2 linked regions of the Alligator mississippiensis genome follow. The protein of the gene in region 1 purifies or fractionates together with the protein of each later gene. This does not show direct contact. Links are inferred from orthologs where the notes say so. Each region holds a gene or a part of one and is shown on either strand. Other genes may lie near its edges.

Region 1 (10,435 bases):
GGTATGGGGGCCTGAGATGCTGCACGCTAGACCTGGGTGCATCTAGGAACAGCTGAGGACAACATCCTGTAAAAAGGGCCAGTATGCACCCAGCTCTGAGGTTGAACAGCTAGGAAATGGGTGGGTATAAGCACCCCATGGGAGGGTGAGGACATACCCAGTATTGGGGTAGAACAGCTAAGCTTAACACCCCATGGGGAAGGCTGGGACAGCTAGGGAATGGGCAAGCTAACAGCACCCAAAATGAGCCCAAGTGCAGCCAGCTCTGGGGTGGGACAGCCAGAAATGCTCTAGTACAAACACCCCCCTCCAGAAAGGCTGAGAGGCACCCATCTCCCCCTAGGAATGGGCAGAGATCAGGTCCCCCTCCAGTACCTCGAAGGCTACAGGCAGCAGGAGCTGGAGGAAGGCGGAGATGTAGTCAGCATCCGTCATGCCAGGCTAGGATAGAAGCAGGGGCTTGGGTGAGGGACATGGGGCCAAGATGCACCAAGCTCTGGGGTGAGGGGGTTGGGGACAGCCAAGTATAATGGAGCACAAAGGTGGCCCAGATTCAGCCAGCTCTTGGGGAGGCGGGTGAGAAGTAATCCAGTATAATATGGCACAAATAGAGTTGAGATGTGCCAAGATTTGGGGTGGAACACCTGGGAATCAGCCACATGCCTGCTCTGGGCTGAGGGCACCTGGGGACAGCCGAGTATAACAGCCTAGAGAAAAATCCCAGAAGTGCCTGCCAGGAGGGGGTAGTGGCTGGGAAACAGCTGAGTATAATACCCCACAGGAAGGCTGAAATGTGCCCAGCTCTGGAGCAGGGGTGTCTAGAGGCAGTTGAGTATAACAGTCTAGAAAGAATCCCAAGATGCAACCAGCTCTGGGATGGAGCAGTGGGTAACAGCTGAATATAACACCCCAGGGGTAGACCTAAATGTGCACAGCTCTGGGGTGGAGGGGCTGGGGAATGGCCACATATAACAGGGCACAGATAAAGCAGAGATGCAGCCAGCTCTAGGGCTGAACAGCCAGGTATAAACAAGTCTTGGAAGGAGAACCACAATGCACCCAGCTCTGGGGTGGGGTGGCTGATGAACGGCGAAGTATAACAGATCCCCCCAGAGGTGGGGCCAGACACTGGGATCCCTCACCTGGTTCCAGGGCAGGTTGATGGTGAAGCCACAGCCTTGCCCCCGCCCCACAGCCGATGAATCAGAATCCGGGAGATGGGGCCAGAATGCCCCGTTGTCATAGCGATGGACCGAGAAGTACAGGACGCTGGGGGTGTTGTATGATATCCTGTCTCCCACAGTCTTGTGGTGCCCCTCACTCTTGACCCGCAGACTGCCCCCCCACCCCTCCCCCGCAGCTCCAGAGTCCCTCACTCCTGACCTGGGGTCATCTTCAAAGATGAACTGGGTTCCCTGCCCATGGTGGACATCCCAGTCAACAATCAGGACCCTAAAACCGATGATGTCAGGAGGAAGAAAAAAAAAAAAAAAAATCTAGGCATCTGGGCTTCCCACTTTTAGTCCCTCTCCCTTCCCAGAGAACCAAGCTCCCCTGTTCTCACCCCTGTCCCCTCCCCACCCCTTCCTAGAGAACTCAGGTGTCCGGGCTCACCGCTGCAATCCACGGCGCTCCCGGGCATGACGGGCAGCGATGGCCACATGGTTGAAGAGGCAGTAGCCATCCATACGCTCCCGTTGTGCATGGTGCCCTGGTGGCCTGGGGGGAGGAGCTGCTGTAAGCTCAGCCCCCTAGCCCCACCCCCTGCAACTCCAGGCTCTGCCCTACCACAGAACCCCAGAGGAAGAGTGAACCTCTAGGTCAGGAGTGTCCAACCTTTTTGAATGTGGAGCCGGATCATTAACTTTTTAATCACCCAGTGGGCCGGCAAGCCATATTCAAACACCCTCTGTCCTGGGCCAAAGAGACCCTGCCTGTGTAGCCCTACTGCACCTGCCTGTTACGGCAAGGTTCATGGTAGCTGCTGGTGGGCAGGGGCAGGAGGGACCCATTCTGCATCCAGCCAGCTACTGCCTCAGAGACAGAAGGGGAGAAATAAATAGCTCCACATCACCATCCCCCAAGCAGCGGAGCCCCACGAGCTGGCGCTGCCTGAGTGGGGCTGGAGCGAGGCAGCCGCTGCACTGCAGCCCCTCACCTGCCTGCCCACGGGGCTCCGCTTACCGTGGTGCCCGGCCGCCTACAGCCCCGGTGGCCTCAGCGCTGCGAGCCCGGAGTCCAAAAGACACTGGTTCCCACTGCCTTGCCCTGTAGAGGTCACACCAGGACCCCACCTGCTGAGGCCCCCCATGCTGCTGGGGACAGGAGGCGGCCAGCCAGGTCAGCACCAGCCAGCAGAAGCGGCGGCGGAGCCATGTGCCGCTTGGGACTGACCAGTGCAGGCAGGGGGAAAATGCAGCTGAGCCGCTGCCCCTTTGGCCAGGCTTGTCCCGTCCCGAGTGGCAGGCACATGGCTCTGCCGCCGCTTCTGCTGGCCAGTGCAGACCCTGCTGGGCTCCTCCCATCCCCAGCAGCACATGGGAAGCCGCATGCTCCGGATGGGATGGACCCAGCTGGGTCAGCACCAGCCAGGAAAAGCGACATGCAGCTGAAGCTGGCTTCTCACGTGCTGCTGGGGATGGGGGGAACCCGGCCGGGTCTGCACTGGCCAGCAGAAGCAGCAGCGGAGCTGTATGCCGCTTAGGATGGGACAAACCCAGCTGGAGCAGCAGGAGCTCAGCTACATTTTCCCCCTGCTTGCACCGGTCAGTCCCGAGCAGCACACAGCTCTGCTGCCGCTTCTGAGGGCTGGTGCCGACCTGGCAGGCCTCCTCCTGTCCCCAGCAGCATGTGGGAATCAGGCTTCAGCTGCTTGCTGCTCTGGATGGAACAGACCTGCCTGGGTCGGCACCAGCCAGCAGAGGTAGTGGTGGAGCAATGTGCTGCTTGGGACTGACCAGCAGAGGTAGGGGGAAAATGCAGCTGAGCCCCCTGCTGCTCCAGCTGGGCTCATCCTGGCCCGAGAGGCACATGGCTACTTCTCTTCCCACATGCATCATGTCCGCAACATCAAGCTGATGCAGTGCATGTGGAAACCTTGTCCCTTCCCTAGCCCTTCAGCAACCATTAGGAAGCTGCTGAGGGGCTGGGGGAGGAACAAGGAGTGGGAATGAAAGTAAATAGTGTTTACTTTAGTTTCCCGTCACTGCACAGCGGGCCTCAGAAAATACCTTGGCGGGCTGTATGTTGGACAAGCCTGCTCTAGGTCCAAGCCCCATCCCCAAACAATAGCCCCCAAGCCCTCCTCTGTAGCCCTGCCCCCTGACTCACCCTTGGCTCTACCCTCAGCCCTTCCCACTTTGTCTTGCCCTTGCCTCTCTCTAGCCCTTGTAGCCCCACTCCAGCCCCTTAGCCACACCCCCTAGCCCCACCCTAACCCACTCCTAGCCTGTTGGCTCCACCTCCAGCCCCAATAGCTGCACTCCTGCCCGTACCTCACCCAAGCCCCCCTAGCCCCACCTCTGAGTTTCCTCAACCCCCCCAGGTGCTTCATCCCACCCCTCCCCTGCTAGGCCTGTCCTCTTGGGCCCCTAAGTCCAACCCCTATAACCCCCCACCCTTAGAACTCAGGCCCCACCTCCAGCCCCTTTTCCCATCCCCTTAGCCCCACCCCCCAGACCTCACTAGCCCGTCTTACCGGATCAGCGCCAGCCCATTCCTCAGCTCCCCACTCAGCACCTTGTCAACCACGGCCAGGACAGTGCCGGCTGCCAGCCGCGCACAGTGGTATGAATTCTGCAGGGGTGGGGATGGTGAGGGACCCAGGCATCGAGGTTCCTAGCCCTCCCTGCTTTCACCCACCTCTCCTGCCAGAGAACCCAGGCATCTGGGCTTCAAGCCCCCCGCCCCCAAAATCTGGGGCTTACCGGATGCAAATAAACTGAATCGTAAGTGTCTGAGAGGGCGCGGAGTTTACCCTCCTCCATGTCGGCAGTTGAGGCCATGAGGGCCAGGAACTGGGGGCTGCAAAGTGAGGAGGGGGTCATGGTGCCCCTCACTCCCCTCCTTACTCCCAACCTGCAACCCCCCCCCAAACCCATGGACCTGCAGTGCCCCTCACCCCCAGTAACTCTCTCACCTGTGTACCAGCAGAATCTCCTCTTCCGTAGCCAGTCTGGCCTGCAAAGAGATAGCCCTAAAAAAACCCCCAGGCATCCAGGCTCCCAGCCCCACACCCCTCCCAGAGAATCCAGGTGTCTGAGTTCTCATCCTCCCTACCCCACCACTCTCACCTGCAGCCTCTCCTCCACTCCCAGAGAACACAGGCATCTGACTCACCTGCACAGGGACACACCTCTCCACCAATCCATCTTCCACCAGCTTGGTCCAGATGGATGTCAGCCGGGCTGGGCACTCAGGGAAACTGCAGCAATAAGGGCAGAGTCAGGAGGCTGTGGGGTAGGAGTGAGGGGCACTGTGAAGCTATGGGGACACAGGTATCCAGGTCCCCCAGCCATTCTCCACATTCCATGAACCCAGACATCTGGGCATCTCAGGCTCTGGTAGACTCAGGCATCCAGGTCCCCCAGTGAACCCAGGTGTCTGGGATCCCCTCCATGAACCCAGGTATCTGGGTGCCCCAGCTCCCTCTGTGGATCCATGGCCCAGTAGGATTCATTATGGGTCAGGAGTGAGGGGCACCCTGGGGCCATGGGGAGCACTGCAGGTCAGGTGTGAGAAACACCAATATGGGTGGGGTTGGGGGGTCAGGAAGAGACACAAAAGGAGCAGGGGTGGGAGGGACCAGGTCAGCCAGCCAAACCCAGAGTAAGACTGGGGAACCGAGGCTGATGAGTTGATCCCAGATTCTGTCACAATGATGGGGACTCATAGGTGGGGGGGAGAGAGTTGTAGGCCAGGCTAGGGAAATCAATCCCAGACTGGGACTGGGGATCCTCGGGCTGACCAGTTGATCCCAGATCCACCCCCTCCATTACAGAGATGGGGGGGGGAGCAGGGAGAGACAGGACAGAGCCCAGGGTAACAAGCCAAGCTCAGAGTGGCACTGGAGTCCCAGGCTGGTGAACTGATCCCAGATGTGCCACCCTTAGAGATAGAAGTTCATGAGGGAGCTAGGGCAGCACAGGAGCTGCAGATGAAGGGAGCAGCTTCCCTCACCTCTTGTCCCAAAGGCAGTGAAAGCTGGTGAGCTCCTTATCATAAGCAAGGCCTGTCCCTGAGGGCACTGGCTTCTCTGCAGCCAGATCCTGGAGGGGGGGTAGAGAAGGACACAGGAGATAGTGAACTCAGACTTCCAGTATCTCCCTCCCAACATAATACCCTGCCTCACTGCCCTGTCCAGAGCAGGAGAACCCAGGCAGCTGGGGGCTCCCCAATGGCTCCCCTACCATCGAACCCACCAGGCCCCTGTCCCCTCCCAGCAAGAAGACCAAGGCATCTGGGCTCCCACCAACCCCCATCCCCCCCACCTCCAAAATGACTCAGGTGTCCAGGCTCTTCCCCTGCCAAAACCTTGTGGGGACACAGGCCTCCAGTTTCTACCCCCACTCCATGAGGCGCAGGTATCTAGGCCGTACCAGGTGCTGTAACCCATCCTGGAGCTCGGCCACCTCTTGATGCAACCTCCGGGCACGGCCGCGCCGCTTTGCCTCAGGGAGCCCTGGGCTGCGGCGGGGAGGGGGTGGTGCCTGCCGACCAGCCCGGCCCTACAAGGGGATGACAAGACAGACTGCAGAGCTCTGGCCACACTACCTTGGGATCAAACCCACCCCTTCATGTCAGGCCACACCCACACGGCCCGGAAATCCAGCTCCAGTGGTCAGGCCACACCCACTCCTGGCTCCCCTCCAGCTTTACCTCCCTGAGAGAAACAGGCACCATCCTTGGCCTCCAAGCCCCGCCCACCTGACCTAGGCCACACCCCAGGTCCTTAAGCCCCACCTCCAATCTTCCTTACCCGCAGGCTCCACCCCGTTCTGGCCCCGCTCCCTGAGCACCAAGCTCCTCCCACAGCCTGGCCCCGCCCCATTTTACTCCACCCTGTCAGTTTCCCCCCCCCATCTTGGCCCCACTTCAGTATCATAAGCCCCACCCCTCCTGGACCCCGGTACCGGGTTTCAACTCTCCCAGCGTGGTACCCACTCCCCATAACCATATGGGGGGGGGGCAAGTGGTGGGGCGGCTACTTTACCGACGGTGCCGGGGCGCTGGGTCCTTCAGGCCCCGGAGAGACCCCAGGGGGCATCGCGGCGGCAAGGCAGGGAGGATTACAAGTAGGCGTGAGAGGCTCCGGGTTGGGGGGAAATGGTTTCATCTGCTCCCCCCCCCCCTTCAGAAAGATGGTCTCTCCCGGGCGCTGCCGGATGGAGTCAGATTGGCCTGCCCTGAGCGAGACCATTCGTACCGCGCGGGGCAGGCAGAGCTGGGTGACACAATTCCCCTGCACATGCGCACTTAGAGGGGTGGGAGAGACCATTCACCTCAGTAAAGGGGGAAGGAGACTGGGACTTTCCCAATGCTTGGGTGGGGGCCGGGTACTACCACGGACACTAGTTGAGGGCAATTAAAGGCAAAGTACCAGTATCTTAAAGAGACAGACTCTTTATTGGGGGGGCTGGGGTGGGGGGGGACCTGGAGCCCCATGACCCCTAAAACCCCTGACTCTCGGCACCTGCTTCCCCCAAGGGTCTCACCCATCAAGAGCCCCTCCCCTCGGTGGGGGCGGGACTAGGCAAGAGCCTGGGGGTGGAGCCAGGGAGCAGGCCAAAGCAGTGACTCCACCCCCTCAGGCTGGGGAATGTACCTTTAGAGGTGGTCCGGCAGGTGGCATTGGGGCAGGATATGGCTCAATCCTTCAAACCCAGGGGTGGGGCTTTACCCATGGCCTCTACCCCCTCAGGGTCAGTGGGTGGGGTCCAGCAGGTGGGGGTCATAGTCAGAATGTAGCTGCACCACTCAGTCCTGGGGGCAGGTTAGGGAGAGGTGCTGGGTCCAGGCTGTGACTCCACCTCTCAGGCCAAAGAGGTAGGGCTGGGCTGGGGGCTGGACCTAGTGGATGTGGGATAGGGCCAGATCACATCCCTGACCCTCAGGCCAGGGAGGAGCCAGGGGTGGGGTAGGCGGTGGGGCCCAGCAGGTGTGGGGTGGGGGAGAAGGGCAGCAGGTGGACCACAGGCCCCAGGGCATAGAGAGCACTAGGGTCCTCGGCTCCTAGGGGGGACGGGGTCAGTAGCTCCAGCGGGGCAGGGCCCTCAGGGCCAGGCAGGGCCCGGACACCTGGCTCTCCACTGCGGCGCTTCTTGCCCTTGGCTGAGACTTTGCGGTTCCGTGTCTGGATCCCATCCTTGCGCATGGTCAGTGGCCGGTTCACCTGCAGGGAAGGGGTCATGAAGGGATCCATGCATCCAGGGGCCAAGAGGGATTCAGGTGTCTGGGATCCCAGCCCCCATTCCCCTCCCAGAGTTGGTGAAAGAATCCAGGTGACCAGGACCATGCCCCATCCCTCTGCAATCCCCCCCATCAGGGATGTAAACCCAGGTGCCCTGAGGATGGAACCCAGATATGTGAGTGGTCCCATGGTGGGAACCCAGGCATTTGGACCTCTCCAGGGATGGAACTCAGGCAGCCCTGGGGTAGGAACCCAGGCATCAGGGTGGCCTTGGGAAAAGGACCCAGGCATCTGGGCCTCTCCAGGGATGGAACCTAGGTACCTGGGCAACGACAGGATGAGAACCTAGGCATTTGGGCCTTCCCAGGAAAAGGACCCAGGCATCCGGGCAGCCCTGGGGTAGGAACTCAGGTGGCCCTGGGGCAAGAATGGGGGGGCACTCACATTGTGGAGCTTGTAGTACAGGCCGCAAGCGTTGCAGACGGGCTGCCCGCGGGGGTCGCGGCGCCACAGTGTTGTGGTCGTGGTCTGGCAGTTGCTGCACTGGGTCCCTGCTCGCTTGCTCACCACCTGGAGGTGGGGGGGCAGGGGTCAAGTGGTGGGGGTCACAGGGTCCCCATGGTGTCTGGATGGAGTCCCTAGGGGGTATGGGGATTCCAGGAGGGGTTTGGAGATCCCCAGGGGGCATATGGGAAGCCTGGTGGGGGGTCTCTCACCAGGTGTTTCCAGGGAACAAGTGGTTGGGGGTCCCATGGATGGGTGCATTGGGAGCATGTATGTGGGGGAGAAGAATGGTCCATATTGGGAGTCTGTGGGGGGGAGGGTGTATTGGGAGGGTCCATGCCAAGATCCCTGGGGGGTGGTTTGGAAAACTCCATGTGGAGGTCCTTGCAGGGGATGTTGGGAGGGTCCATGTTAGGGATCCAACCCTAGGGGGTAAATTAACACAGTTCATGTTGGTGGACAGTCCATGGTGTGGAATGGTCCATGTTGGGGGTCCTAGGCAGAGGCCTGGGAGAGTCCATGTCAGGGTCCTGGGGATGATGCGGATGTTTCAGGGTGGGGGGTTGTTATAAAAGAGTGCATGTGGAGGTCCCTGGGGGATTGGAAGGGTCCATGTTGTGGGTCAGTGGAGGGAGTGAATTAGCAGAGTCCATGTGGGAGGACAGTGTGTGGAATGGTCCATATATTGAGGGTCTATACGAGAGTACTGGAAGGGTCTGTGTGGGGGGTGTATAGAATGGTCCTAGCTGGGGACCCAGGAGGGTGTATTGGGAGGGTCCTGGGGAGGGTTGTAATGGGAGAGTCTGTGCAGCGGTTGGGAGGGTCCATGTGGCAATCCCTGAGGGACTGTATTGGAAGGGTCCATAGGGGTGTATAATGCTCCATGTTAGGGATCTGGGGGGAGAGCATGGGAGAGTCCACATGGGAGTCACAGGTGGAGTGTATCAGAAGGGTCCATGAGGTGGGGGGGAGGGGTAGAAGGGATGTATTGGAAGGGTCCACAAAGGGATTCTGGAGGGGATCTCTCACCAGACGTTTCTTGGGGCGGATGAGGGGCCGGTTGGCACCGTTGACACGGTGGTACAGCCCACAGGCATTGCATAGGTAGTGCCCGGTACCATCCCGGCGCCACAGTGGTGTGGCCGTGGCCCCGCAGTTCACGCACTCCCGCGCCTCTGTCGGGGGGAGACATTATCTAGGGGGTCCCGATCCTGCCCAGCCCCAAGTGCTCTATGTCCCCTCCATCCCCCTGCCCAATCTTGGTAAGAGCTTATACCCTCCCCCCAACCAAAGGGCCCAATCCTGGGGTGGGAGGCAGAGAAAATCAAGGAAGGTCCTGATCATGGATGTGGGGGAGACAGGGAACCCAATCCTGGGTGCGGGCTGTGTAGCTCCAATTCTGGCTGGGGGCAGGTGGGTCCTGGTCCTAGTCTGAGCGAGCCCTCAATCCTATCTGGGGCAGGAGGGGGGAGCCCAATCCTGACTCAGGGGGAGTCTGATTCTGGCTTTGGGGAGTCCCAATCCTGGCTGGCACAGGAGGGGAGGTGCCTGATCCTAGCTGAGACTGAGGCAGATGGGGAGAGGACTCACCACATGATGCCAGGGGCAGGCTGCCCCGGAAGGCAGGGGGGTAGGCGGGGCCAGGGGGTGCCAGGTAGGCCAGGTCAGGGGGGCTGCCATAGCCCCCGCCCAGGCCCAGGCTCAGGCCCAGGCCTAGCCCCAGCCCCTCAGTGCCCCCCCCCACCCCAGGACTGGGCCTCTCCGTCTTCAGCATCTCCAGGAAAGTGGGGCTGTCCCGGGCCTCAGGGGGGGGTGGGGGTGAGGGAGGGCCAGGGAGGGCCTTGCTGTAGCCCCCTGGGGCCCAGCCCCCCGCAGTGAAGGCTGAGCCCTCCCCCCACGGCAGCGCTCCCAGCACTGGGTACAGCTGGCAGCCTAGGGAAGGAAAAGAGTGAGGGTTAGTGCCACCTTGGGGTGTGCAGCATCATGGCAACCATGATGGGTAGGTGTCATGGCAACTGAGGCTGGAGGCTGTGATGTGTAGATTGGTGTAAGTGCCATGATAACGGGGGTGTCATGGCAACTGAAGGAAGCTGGGGTGGTAGGTTGGTGTGGGTGTCATGGCAATGGCAAAGGGGATTGGGTATTATAGCAACCACAAGAAGGCTGTTATGGCAACTGAGGCAGGAAGCTGGGGTGAATAGGCTGGTGTCTGTGTCATGGCAACTGAGGCAGGAAACTGGAGCAGTAGGCCAATATGGGTGTCATGGTAAGCCTGGCGGGAATGGGGTCCCATGACAACTGTGGGGGCAGGGCAGGCAGAAGGATGACTAGGGTGGGTGTCATAGGAACCAGGGGCATTGGGCAGTGGGGTTTTGTCAAAACAACATGGGCAGGGAAGATAGGCCAGGGTAGATGTCATGGCAACCATGGATGAGGGATGGGGCATGGATGTGGGATGGGGATGGGAACCATGATGGGAAACCATGACAACAGGGTAGATGTCATAGTAACTGAGGAGGTTAC
Region 2 (10,624 bases), on another chromosome or scaffold:
CATTTTTTTTCTTTTTGGTTGAGTGATGATAATTAAAGGAATAGTATCTTAATTCTGAGTCTAAGCTTGCAAAACAGGTCCTGATCATAGATGAGCTGCAGTCTGGTCTCTTTAGAGGCCAAATGGTAATGAGTTTTTAATAACGGCACTGATGGATGGATGAGTCTCACCAGAGCTCTACCATGGGGAGGGGTGATAAACTTTGGTTCTTTGCCCTTGTACAAGAATGGAGACTCCATGAAGTTTTTCCTGCTTCTCCTGTGCTCACTTTTGTGCCACTGAAGTCCCTGGATGAGAGGTGTCTTCCCCCTCTGCCTCACTGGAGGCATCAAAGTCATTGTCAGCTAGTTCCCAACCATCAGTGTCAGGCAAATGGGGGGTGCTATGGAGTCACCCCCCATGAGGATGTGTGAGAACTGCTTATGGTAGGTGGTCATCGCCTTGTGGGCACTGAAGATCCAGTTAGCATCTGTGGCTCTCTCGCAGCCTACCTTCAAGACCTGTATCTTTAAGTGGCACTGTTGCCAGTCCCAGTTGTGGCCCATAGCTACCACAGGACCTTTGTCATGGTCAAACTGGGACTACATATCACTGTAATTCAGATATATTGTTGTGAACCTAGGGTCTTGCTTTATTCAACCCTGAATCTGGCTCTGCATCAAAGTTAATGTCATAGTTAGGAGTGCAAATGTGATAAAACAAGTTTGTATAACACTACGTTTTAAAATAAACTATTACTTATTCTTTCAGCACACGGCAAGAAACCCAATGTGCACATCTAATAATAGACTACCCCAAACATACTGGCCTAACAAAAGAATTTACACCAACACTGGATTGATACCTTTCTACACTGGCTTTGTACCGAGTAAGTTTGTCAGGTTTGACATGAATCACTGATGGTAATAGCCATGGTAATCATAGTAGGCATACTAGATGATGATGATGAACTGCCCAGTAATTGTCATAGTCAGTTTTACAGGTCTTGCTAATCAGTGTTTTTGGAAGGTGAAAGTGAATTAGCTTCTGAGGGGGGATACTGTTGCACCAGGAGGTGGTAGTGAAGGCAAAAGGGCCCTTCACCTCTGCTCTAGGGCCCTGCAGGTTACTATGGTACGTGGTCTTTTGAGCCTGCAGGGGGCTGGTATCATTAGCACTCCCTGAAGCATTAAATGCACAGCACCTCCTGGCAAAGGTGGTCCAGTGTCCAACATGGAAAGCACCTGCTCTCCCCTCTTTGGTGTACAGGATCCCATGGAAGGCCATTGCGAAAATTCTGACTACCTCCACTCACCCACCCACTGCCAATGGGTTAGTGACCTTGCTGTGAAGATTGTACATGGCAGAAGCCGGAGGCTCAGCTCCCCATGGGGAAGGTATAGGAACATGATTTTCCCTATGTTTAACAGAGGAAGCATAAAGGCGATGGTGGAGGAGGGATGCACTAACCTTGTTGTCAGGTCTTTGAACTAGATGTAGACTCTTCTGCACCCCCCCCCCCACCCCCACCCAATCCCTTTCACCACCTCTAGGGTAGCAGGCTCTTTGACAAGAGCACCATCTTGCCACACCATCCCTTCCTTGCAAGCAGGCATATATTTTGAGTTTACTAGCTGTCTAGCTTTGTTCCACAAATTTGTCCAATCAAAACTATTTTTGCATGAATACTTGCTAACTTTACTGCATTTTATTTTCCAGCTATTAGAAACAACTACATGCTGACCTTTGGCAACAGTTCCCGAAAAGCTTACCAGAAACAAAAGCAACAAGCTCATGCATTTTGAAAGATGCTTTAATTGTCTGTACATCAGTGGACATGAAGTTGTCATGGAACAGCAAAAGATTCACACAATACAGACAAACAAAAACAAAAAAGTTTTGAATGGAAAGAGTTCATACAGCTTTAGACATAATATACAGGAATTGCTACTGCATAAATGTTATGCTGCCTCTTCCTCAGCTTCTTCCTCAAACTCCCCTTCTTCCTCCGCTGTAGCATCCTGATACTGCTGATACTCAGATACCAAGTCATTCATATTGCTCTCAGCCTCAGTGAACTCCATCTCATCCATGCCCTCCCCAGTATACCAATGCAAGAAAGCCTTTCTGCGAAACATAGCAGTAAATTGCTCAGAAATACGCTTAAATAATTCTTGGATAGCTGTACTGTTACCAATGAATGTAGCAGACATTTTCAGGCCACGGGGTGGGATGTCACAAACAGCTGTTTTAACATTATTGGGAATCCACTCAACAAAGTAGCTGCTGTTCTTGTTTTGTACATTAAGCATTTGCTCATCCACCTCTTTCATTGACATGCGGCCTCTGAAAACAGCAGCTACAGTGAGGTAGCGGCCATGACGTGGGTCACATGCCGCCATCATGTTCTTTGCATCAAACATCTGCTGTGTGAGTTCTGGCACAGTTAGAGCCCGATATTGTTGGCTCCCACGGCTGGTGAGTGGGGCAAAGCCAGGCATGAAGAAGTGCAAACGGGGGAAAGGAACCATATTAACTGCAAGTTTACGCAAGTCAGCATTAAGCTGGCCTGGAAAACGTAGGCAAGTGGTCACTCCACTCATGGTTGCTGACACCAAATGGTTCAGATCACCATATGTTGGAGTAGTTAGCTTCAGCGTTCTGAAACAGATGTCATATAGTGCTTCATTATCAATGCAATAGGTTTCATCTGTGTTTTCTACAAGCTGGTGTACAGAAAGTGTGGCATTATAAGGCTCTACTACAGTGTCCGATACTTTAGGTGAAGGCACAACACTAAAAGTGTTCATGATCCTGTCTGGATATTCTTCACGGATCTTGCTGATTAAGAGGGTGCCCATACCAGAGCCAGTGCCTCCACCAAGGGAGTGTGTAAGCTGAAAACCCTGGAGGCAGTCACAGCTTTCTGCCTCTTTTCTTACAACATCTAGCACAGAGTCAACCAGTTCAGCACCTTCAGTGTAGTGGCCTTTTGCCCAGTTGTTTCCTGCTCCACTCTGACCTGGAAGAAAACCATTTTTACATTACATTACAGGCACTGCTGATGTTATGGGTTTGGATGGGTTTTTTTTAAATGGAGTGCTTGAGAATGCATTTCCTGGTAGTGACAATATTTAAGAAATATTATTCTTTAATTACTTTTTAAAGAACAAGTTTCAATATTAATATTAAAAAAAAAAAAAAAAAAAATAGACATGACTGTGCCTGAAGCCAAGTCTGGCAAAAAGACAGCAGTTCATGAATTTAAAGTTCTTATTCCAGATTATTCTATAAAGAAATAGTGCGAGTATTCAACATGCAAAGTCTGTTAAAAACAGTGGTGCTCAACATATGGCACAGACAGCTCTCTCCAGGTCCAGAAGTTTAATGGTGAGAGAGAAGTAGACATATTAAAAGCGTGCTGGTTTGTGGAGTGACCCCTTACCATTCCTCTAAAGGGCCAGAAGGTTGAACACCAATTACCATGTTCGCACAATGCCCCCTTGGATCAACTCGAAGTCGCAGTGATTACACTGCAACAGAAACTGGATGCATCATAAGTGTGTTGACAAGGAATTCACTCCTTGCCCCTGTCCACGTCCCACCCAAAACACCTGTGACCACTTCAAACAGAGCCAAGCCTTAGGTGAAGCTTACCCTGCTCCAAAGAAGTCCTCTACAGCCAGGATAAAGTTCACTACAGACAAGGCAAGCTATCCCCCCGCCTGCCCGCCCAATCCCAAACAAACCCTGTGACACCCACCAAAGACAAAGTTGTCAGGTCGGAATATTTGCCCAAAAGGCCCAGAGCGCACAGAGTCCATGGTGCCCGGCTCCAGGTCCACGAGCACTGCGCGGGGAACATATTTGCCACCTAGAAAACAGGGAGGCAGAGTGAGGCCGGAAATCGGGGTGCGGGGGGGGGGGGGCAGGAGGGGCGGGGGCAGCACCTACCTGTGGCCTCGTTGTAGTAGACGTTGATGCGCTCCAGCTGCAGGTCGCTGTCCCCGCGGTAGGTGCCGGTGGGGTCGATACCGTGCTCGTCGCTGATCACCTCCCAGAACTGCAAGAGACACACCCAGGTCAGAGGTTGCAGCGAGCGGCGGCCCTCCCGCCTGTCAGCCACTGCCCCCGCGTACCGAGGGTTACTACCGGCCCGCCCGCCCGCCCCCTGCCACCGACCTTGGCCCCGATCTGGTTCCCGCATTGCCCGGCCTGGAGGTGCACGATCTCCCTCATTATGGCGGCTCTGCAGACAACTCCGAACCGCCCACAGCACCGCACCAGCCTCACTGCGTGCGTCAAGCAACCGCCGCCGTTTATATAGTAACGGTTTGCGCGCGCACCCACGTTCCCTCGGCCCCGGCCGACCGCTGGCAAAAACTATTGGACAACCATAATGAGGCTCGGAACAGAGAGAAGCGCGATTGGTTAAGAAACTGTCGGTCAAATTATCACGTTTCCTCAACCAACACCGCCCCCTCCTGCGGGTCGTGACGTTAAGTTTCTGAACGTCACAATTTCTCCCCTCCCTCTTCAGCACAGCTCCGATTGGTTTAATTGAATGATTGATGTAGAGGCTGATTGGCTGTTTCCCGTAGCAATGAAGTAATCTCACAACGATTGGGTTAACACCCCGTGTCCTAGGAACCGCCGCAGTGAGGTTTGCGTTAGGAGCAAGGCGGTGGCTCTGTCTGTATTCTTGAAAGGCTTTAGGCTGCGTCTGCAGCGTAACGGGCGGGACGTGTACTACGAGCTGCGGCAAGGCGCTACGCTGTGGCCGTAAATGTGGGGGTGGGGGCAGCTCCCCTTCAGTGTTGCCTGGGACGCGTTTCCTTGGAAAAAGAAAAACATTTTGAGGCCCGTCCTCTCCGGCATCCGCACACTTGAAATACCTCCTCTGACCGCGTGCGGCCCGCCCTTGATGTCCTGAACCAGTGGGCCGAGGAGCGCTGCTGCCTCCCCACCTGCCTCTCGGTCCCCTGCCACTGCCGATTCGCTCTTCTTTCTGCTCCCTGCCGGATCTGCTACTCCGCTCGCCCCTGGCCCATGCCACTTGTCCACCCCGCCCGGGGTCCCCTTCCCAACATCCGTCACAAGCACGCACTGACTGCGCGCAGGGGGTGCACATGCACCCCCTGAGATTGTCGGTGCACCCCTGGAGACTGCCCCTGCCAACGGTGCTGGTGGCGCCTGCAGGCGGTTGCCGCCCGCCACCCCTCCCCTTCCCCCCAATTGGCAGCGTCTGCGGGCCGTTGCCGATTGCCGCTGGCCACCGTCGCCACTGCCAGCGGCATCTGCGGGTGGTCGCCAACCGCCGGTCAACGCTCACCATCTCCCGCAGCCTGCCCCTGACACTGCTGCGGCCGCCTGCAGGTGGCCCCCGCTCACTGCCCCCACAACCCGCCGCCTTCTGCGGGTGGTCGCCGTACCCCCGAGCCTGGGGAGGCATGAGGCATGCATGAGGCATTCGTGGAGGCATGGCAGCCAGCAGCCCCTTCCCAAACACCATCCACTCCCCTGGTGCCCAGCACGCACTCTCTCAACATCCCCACAGCCCTGGCAGCCAACACCTACTTCATTTCAAGCCACTTCTGCCATGCACCCTTTTTTCCCACTGCCACCAATCGTCCCAAACTGCCACCTGGGACATCCTATTTCCCCAAAGCCTGTTGCTCAGCATCCAGCCCCACTTCTGCAAGTGCACGCATCCCTGATACTCAGCAGCTCCTTCCCAAGCACTTTGCCCTTTCACCCTGCTTCCAAATCCTCCCCTTTCCAGAGACCTGCTGTACTGCAAGTGAGGCTCCCTTCTCAGCCAACTTGTCCCACTTGACACCCTGCTACCACTCCAGACTAACCCCAGTACCCCAGACCAAGTTCCCTACAAGTCCCTTCATACATTTTCATTATCCAGATACCAATCATCCACCCATTCTGTGCATTCTGATATCAGGGACATCTCTTCCTTCCTCACTGGGCCTTTCTATACATCTTTCCAAAATCAGTTTCAGAAATGCACAGCAACCCTGGGACGAACCTCCTGAAACACAACCTACCAGGCCCACACTACGTTCAGACTTCTATCCTAAACTTCCTCTTTCTTTCCCCAAACTAGAATCTCCTTCCTAACCCTCCTCCACCTCCCAACACTGAGTTGCCATCCACTCCTACACCCAACCCTATGGTCATCCTGATACCCAGATTTACTACCAGCCCCCCAACCACCCCTATACGCATTTCTAAACATAGTACCCCTTTCCAAAGACATATTCCAACTGCCCACCACGACCCTAATTCCCTTTCTTATACAAAGGCCTCTTTCTGTCCTCACCTAGCTGTCATTCGCAAACCCATCTACACTCAACCCTCCAACAAACAGGTTCTCCTTCCCTAAAGCAAATGGCTTTCCAAATTTTCCAGGAGATTATCAAATTTTTAGCCTGTACCCAAAGATCTAAATTTTGTCCTGAATTTGGAAAAAAGATCCCAAAAGAGGTGACATTTCACAGTGAAAGGAAGTGTCCTGAAGCTTGAATAGGTGCAGCACTAGGCTGCAAGAATGCAACTATACTTCTACCTGTGTGGGAGGCAGTTGGCTTCATACTGGCATTCACACAGTACTGCATGGGTCTAATTAGCCAACCTGCAGCACCACACTAAGGCAAGCGCACTATCCAGAGCTATAAGTGGTGCTATTTCTGGTTCAAGAGGCCTGTGGAGTGTCTGGCACTGCCCCAGATTGTGTTCCTCAAAAGTTGGCTGCTGTACCCTTTCCCTACAAACATTTCCCCTATATCCAATACTATAATACCCCAACTATTGAGATTCAGTTACTTCTCTGCTTCCTAACACCCAGTCCTCCCTTCTCAACCCCTTCTTTCTCCAATATTTAGCCACAAACAATATAAAGAAACCAAAGCGGCACAGTGGTTTACTAAATATACACAGCTTTGCCAAGCCCAGTTATGAAAACACAGTACTGCTCTGAATGGCTTCTGGCAACTTCTGAGGCATAAAATAGAATGCCACTAGGGAGCTCACAAATATATTATTGTGAATTTAGTTTGTGTAGACATACCTAAAGCTATATTTAAACTAATAAGCTTGAGTGACATTAGCAATGTATCTGCAGTACCAGGGAGCTCAGAATGGGCTAGCCATCCACATATTTACCTCATGTTTTCACTGCTTTTGCAACTGGCACGGAGTTCTATGCTGCCATGGCTACAGAGAGCAGTACACAAGCTAGCTAATTTTCAAGCTAGCTCAGGTATGCCTACCCAAGCTACAGTCACAGCAATGACTGTAAGAAAAGACACACCTGAATACTATGCTCCCATCCCCTTTGACCCAGCCCCACTTTCCTATTCCTTCCACTCTCGGCTACACTTCCCAATTATCAGGTTTGCCCCATTTGTGCACCATCTTCAAACTTCCCTTAACCATTCCTAAACCTCCAAAAACAGACAGTAACCCTCTCCTAACTCAATCAATCCCAGTTGCCTGATGCAGCAAAATAATTCACCATTTACTAGCCCTCCCGTCATTCTACATCTGCTCCTCATCACAACCCTCTATGGGTGCATGTACATGTGCAGTTAGCAGGTAGCAATAAACTGAAGTGCAGTTCATGCATGAGTTTATTGCTCTTGGTTGCAGAGTTTATACATGCACCTCTGCCCCAGCTCAATATGCTGTGGAGGGGCTGGCTGGGACATGAGGGTGCTACAGTGCAGAGTTAGCTAGTAGGCATCCCCCAAACTGTAGCACCCTCATGCCCCAGGCAGCTCCAATCACTGTATACACATGCATTTTGGCACATGTGACTACTCTGCTGTAGGAAAGTACTTGTCCCAGACAGTACTATCCTACAGTGGAGTTAATTAATTTACTGCGCCTTAATACGGGCACACATGTAGATCATGACTCTTTACTTCAAAGCTAATTAGTCATTTCTACAGTAAAGCACTTGCGTAGATGTACCCTATATAACAGGGGTGGGCAATTATTTTGGGCAGAGGGCTGCTTACTGAGTTTTGGCAAGCAATCAAGGGCCACATGATAAGCAGCCCAGAGCAAATAAATATTAATTTTCTAAAATTTTTAGGGGCCCTGCAGGCTGGATAGAATGACCTGGTGGGCTGCATCTGGCCCCCAGGGCCACATTTTGCTCACCCCTGCTATATAATATCCTAATTTGAATCTGGGAATGCCTCCAATTCCCCAGGTAACTTGCCAGATCTGACCAGATTTAACCCAGCTGATCCTATCTGCCCTCATCACCCCCTATTCTGATGGTTCTGGTACCAGGAGATTATGCAGCTGCTGGTGTTGTGCCATAAGTCCCTGCCCCCATTCTTGGACCTACTTGGACAGAACAAGGGGAGAGTTTCCATCTAGATTTCTACCCTCTCCACTTCTTACCATGGATGTTGAGTGACTCTCAATGAAAGAGAGAGAATGTTCTGAACCAGTTAGGACTATTCTCATCCATTGTAGGTAAGGTGAACTTAAATGGCTAAATGGCTTGAAAGGTTTTTCAATTAGTGCTACTACAGGCACATTCCTTTCTCTGATTCTGAATATTCAAGGCTACTAGTGAGAGCTCAATAATGCTAATCTACTTATGAATTCAGTCAAGTTATGTCTAGATGCATCACATCTAGATATCAGCATATCACTCACCCTTTCTATTAATGACTACCATAGAACCTCATACCCAATAGCCCTAGGATTTCTCAAAGGCCTAGTGAAGATGTTTTTTCTTACTACAGACTAGACCTGAACCTAGTCTTCACAACTGGACCCACCTCTGGAGCCACTACAACCTACTCATTGCTTGTTCTCTCTCTTGGTAAAGTTTTTAAAAAAATGTTTATTAATAGCAATTACCTCTGCATACTACTTCTTTTTCCTGAGAAGGTAGTCCTCAGGATTCACCTGAAATTCTTGCCCAAAGTGATCACTGTTTCATTTGCACCAGAAGGACTCTCTACCAGTCCCCTTCTAAAGCCACATACCTTCCAAGCTGAGTCTTTATTATATACTCTAGATGTTATGTAGGCACTGGCCTACTATTTGCATCAGTTTAAGTCCTTTTTGTGAATCTTTATGACTTTTTGTATCTATAGCCAAAGGATTTAAAAATATCAGCCCAGAGAGTATCCAGCTGGCTATTGGGTTGTGTGAAATTGTGCTGTAAGTGATATCTATGCCTGTTAAAGCTCAGGCTGCCTCCATGCCTGACTTTGCAGTGTTTCTAACTGACAACTGTAAGCTGGCAAGCTAGAACTTAGCTCATACCTTCACAAAGGGAGGTCCTCAAATTGTTATATACCTAGATGACTCAGATATGTTGCCTAGTGGACCCACATCCAGATGTGAGAGGCATAGCTTTAGAGTTGCCCACTGGTGAGAAAATATATATATATGAACAATTACTGAAGGAGAAAGAGAAATTACTTACCAGTAACTGAATTTCTTCAAGAGGTATTGTCCACAAACACACTTGCATACACCATACTTCCATTTTTCCTCCAAGTCAAATACAAGATTCTGTGGTTGGGAGAAGACTGAAGAGCAGGAAATGTACACTACCTTTTATCCCTTCAACAGGGCAATGCAACTTCAGCACATTCTACGGGTACTGCTAAGGTAAGAAGTAGGGGTGCACTGATAGAGATTTTTTTGGGCTGATACTGATAGCTGATATTTAAGGAGGCATATTGACCAATACCAATCCAATTTCCGATACAGCTGTGTCCAGCTGGTAAGTCCAATGTGATGGAAGGGGAGGGGGGAGGGAAGATCAGTACAACAAGGACAAGTGCAGAGTGCTGCATCTAGGATGCAAAAATATCCAGCACACCTACTGGCTGGGAAGTGACCCTCTCAGCAGCACAGAAGCAGAAGGGGATCTCGGAGTCATAGTGGACTCCAAGGTGAACATGAGTTGTCCGTGAGAGGAAATCATCAGCAAAGCTAACCGCACTTTATCATGCATCAGTAGATGCATGACAAATAGATCCAAGGAGGTGATACTTCCCCTCTATGCGGCATTGGTTAGACCGCAGTTGGAGTACTGTGTCCAGCTGTGGGCACCGTACTTCAAGAAGGATGTTGATAGACTCGACAGGGTCCGGAGGAGAGCCACTCATATAGTGAGGGGCTTACAGGACAAGCTCTGAGAAGAGACTAAGGGACCTGGACCTCTTCAGCCTAGGCAAGAAAAGGCTGAGAGGTGATCTTGTGGCAGCCTACAAATTCACTAGGGGGATGCAGCAAGGGATCAGAGATGCTCTGTTCACCAGGGTGCTTCTTGGGGTAACAAGGAACAATGGTCACAAACTGACAGCAGATATAGGATAGATATCAGGAAAAACTTCTTCATGGTAAGGGTGGCCAAAATTTGGAATGGGCTTTCAAGGGAGGTGGTGCTCTCCCCCACCTTGGGGGTGTTTAAGAGAGAGCTGGATAGGCATCTGGCTGGGGTCATCTGAAAGTTGCTTATGAATAACTTGCTGAAAGGTTGCTTTCATTAAGAAAGTTGCTTATGAATAACTGGAGTTCTTTAAGATGTATTGTCCACATATACATTCCCAGTAGTGGGAGACTGGCTTTAAATGGAGACTTTTTACTAGAG

Evidence for each region. Proteins that work in one complex are often made in the same cells at the same time.
Region 2: the proteins of HDAC6 (region 1) and tubulin beta-4B chain purify together in Homo sapiens (affinity purification with mass spectrometry, with the first as the bait; 4 studies listed by BioGRID). This does not show direct contact. The link is inferred for Alligator mississippiensis from reciprocal best matches to the Homo sapiens genes HDAC6 and TUBB4B.

The regions. Positions count from the first base shown.
Region 1 is NC_081831.1:28,536,454-28,546,888, forward strand, and holds the start of HDAC6 (histone deacetylase 6), read right to left. Parts: upstream 6,564-10,435; 5' UTR 6,497-6,563; coding exon 6,212-6,496; intron 5,727-6,211; coding exon 5,598-5,726; intron 5,268-5,597; coding exon 5,179-5,267; intron 4,452-5,178; exon of another isoform or gene 4,424-4,451; coding exon 4,339-4,423; intron 4,180-4,338; coding exon 4,139-4,179; intron 4,024-4,138; coding exon 3,927-4,023; intron 3,796-3,926; coding exon 3,698-3,795; intron 1,720-3,697; coding exon 1,615-1,719; intron 1,453-1,614; coding exon 1,384-1,452; intron 1,270-1,383; coding exon 1,143-1,269; intron 442-1,142; coding exon 376-441; intron 1-375. Other genes in the region: CDK20 (cyclin-dependent kinase 20), read right to left, coding at 7,109-7,390, 7,853-7,978.
Region 2 is NC_081835.1:40,548,187-40,558,810, reverse strand, and holds tubulin beta-4B chain, read right to left. Parts: upstream 4,284-10,624; 5' UTR 4,219-4,283; coding exon 4,162-4,218; intron 4,043-4,161; coding exon 3,934-4,042; intron 3,854-3,933; coding exon 3,743-3,853; intron 3,002-3,742; coding exon 1,941-3,001; 3' UTR 1,785-1,940; downstream 1-1,784. Other genes in the region: CIMIP2A (ciliary microtubule inner protein 2A), read left to right, coding at 751-868, 1,699-1,784. UniProt on the Homo sapiens protein: Tubulin is the major constituent of microtubules, a cylinder consisting of laterally associated linear protofilaments composed of alpha- and beta-tubulin heterodimers.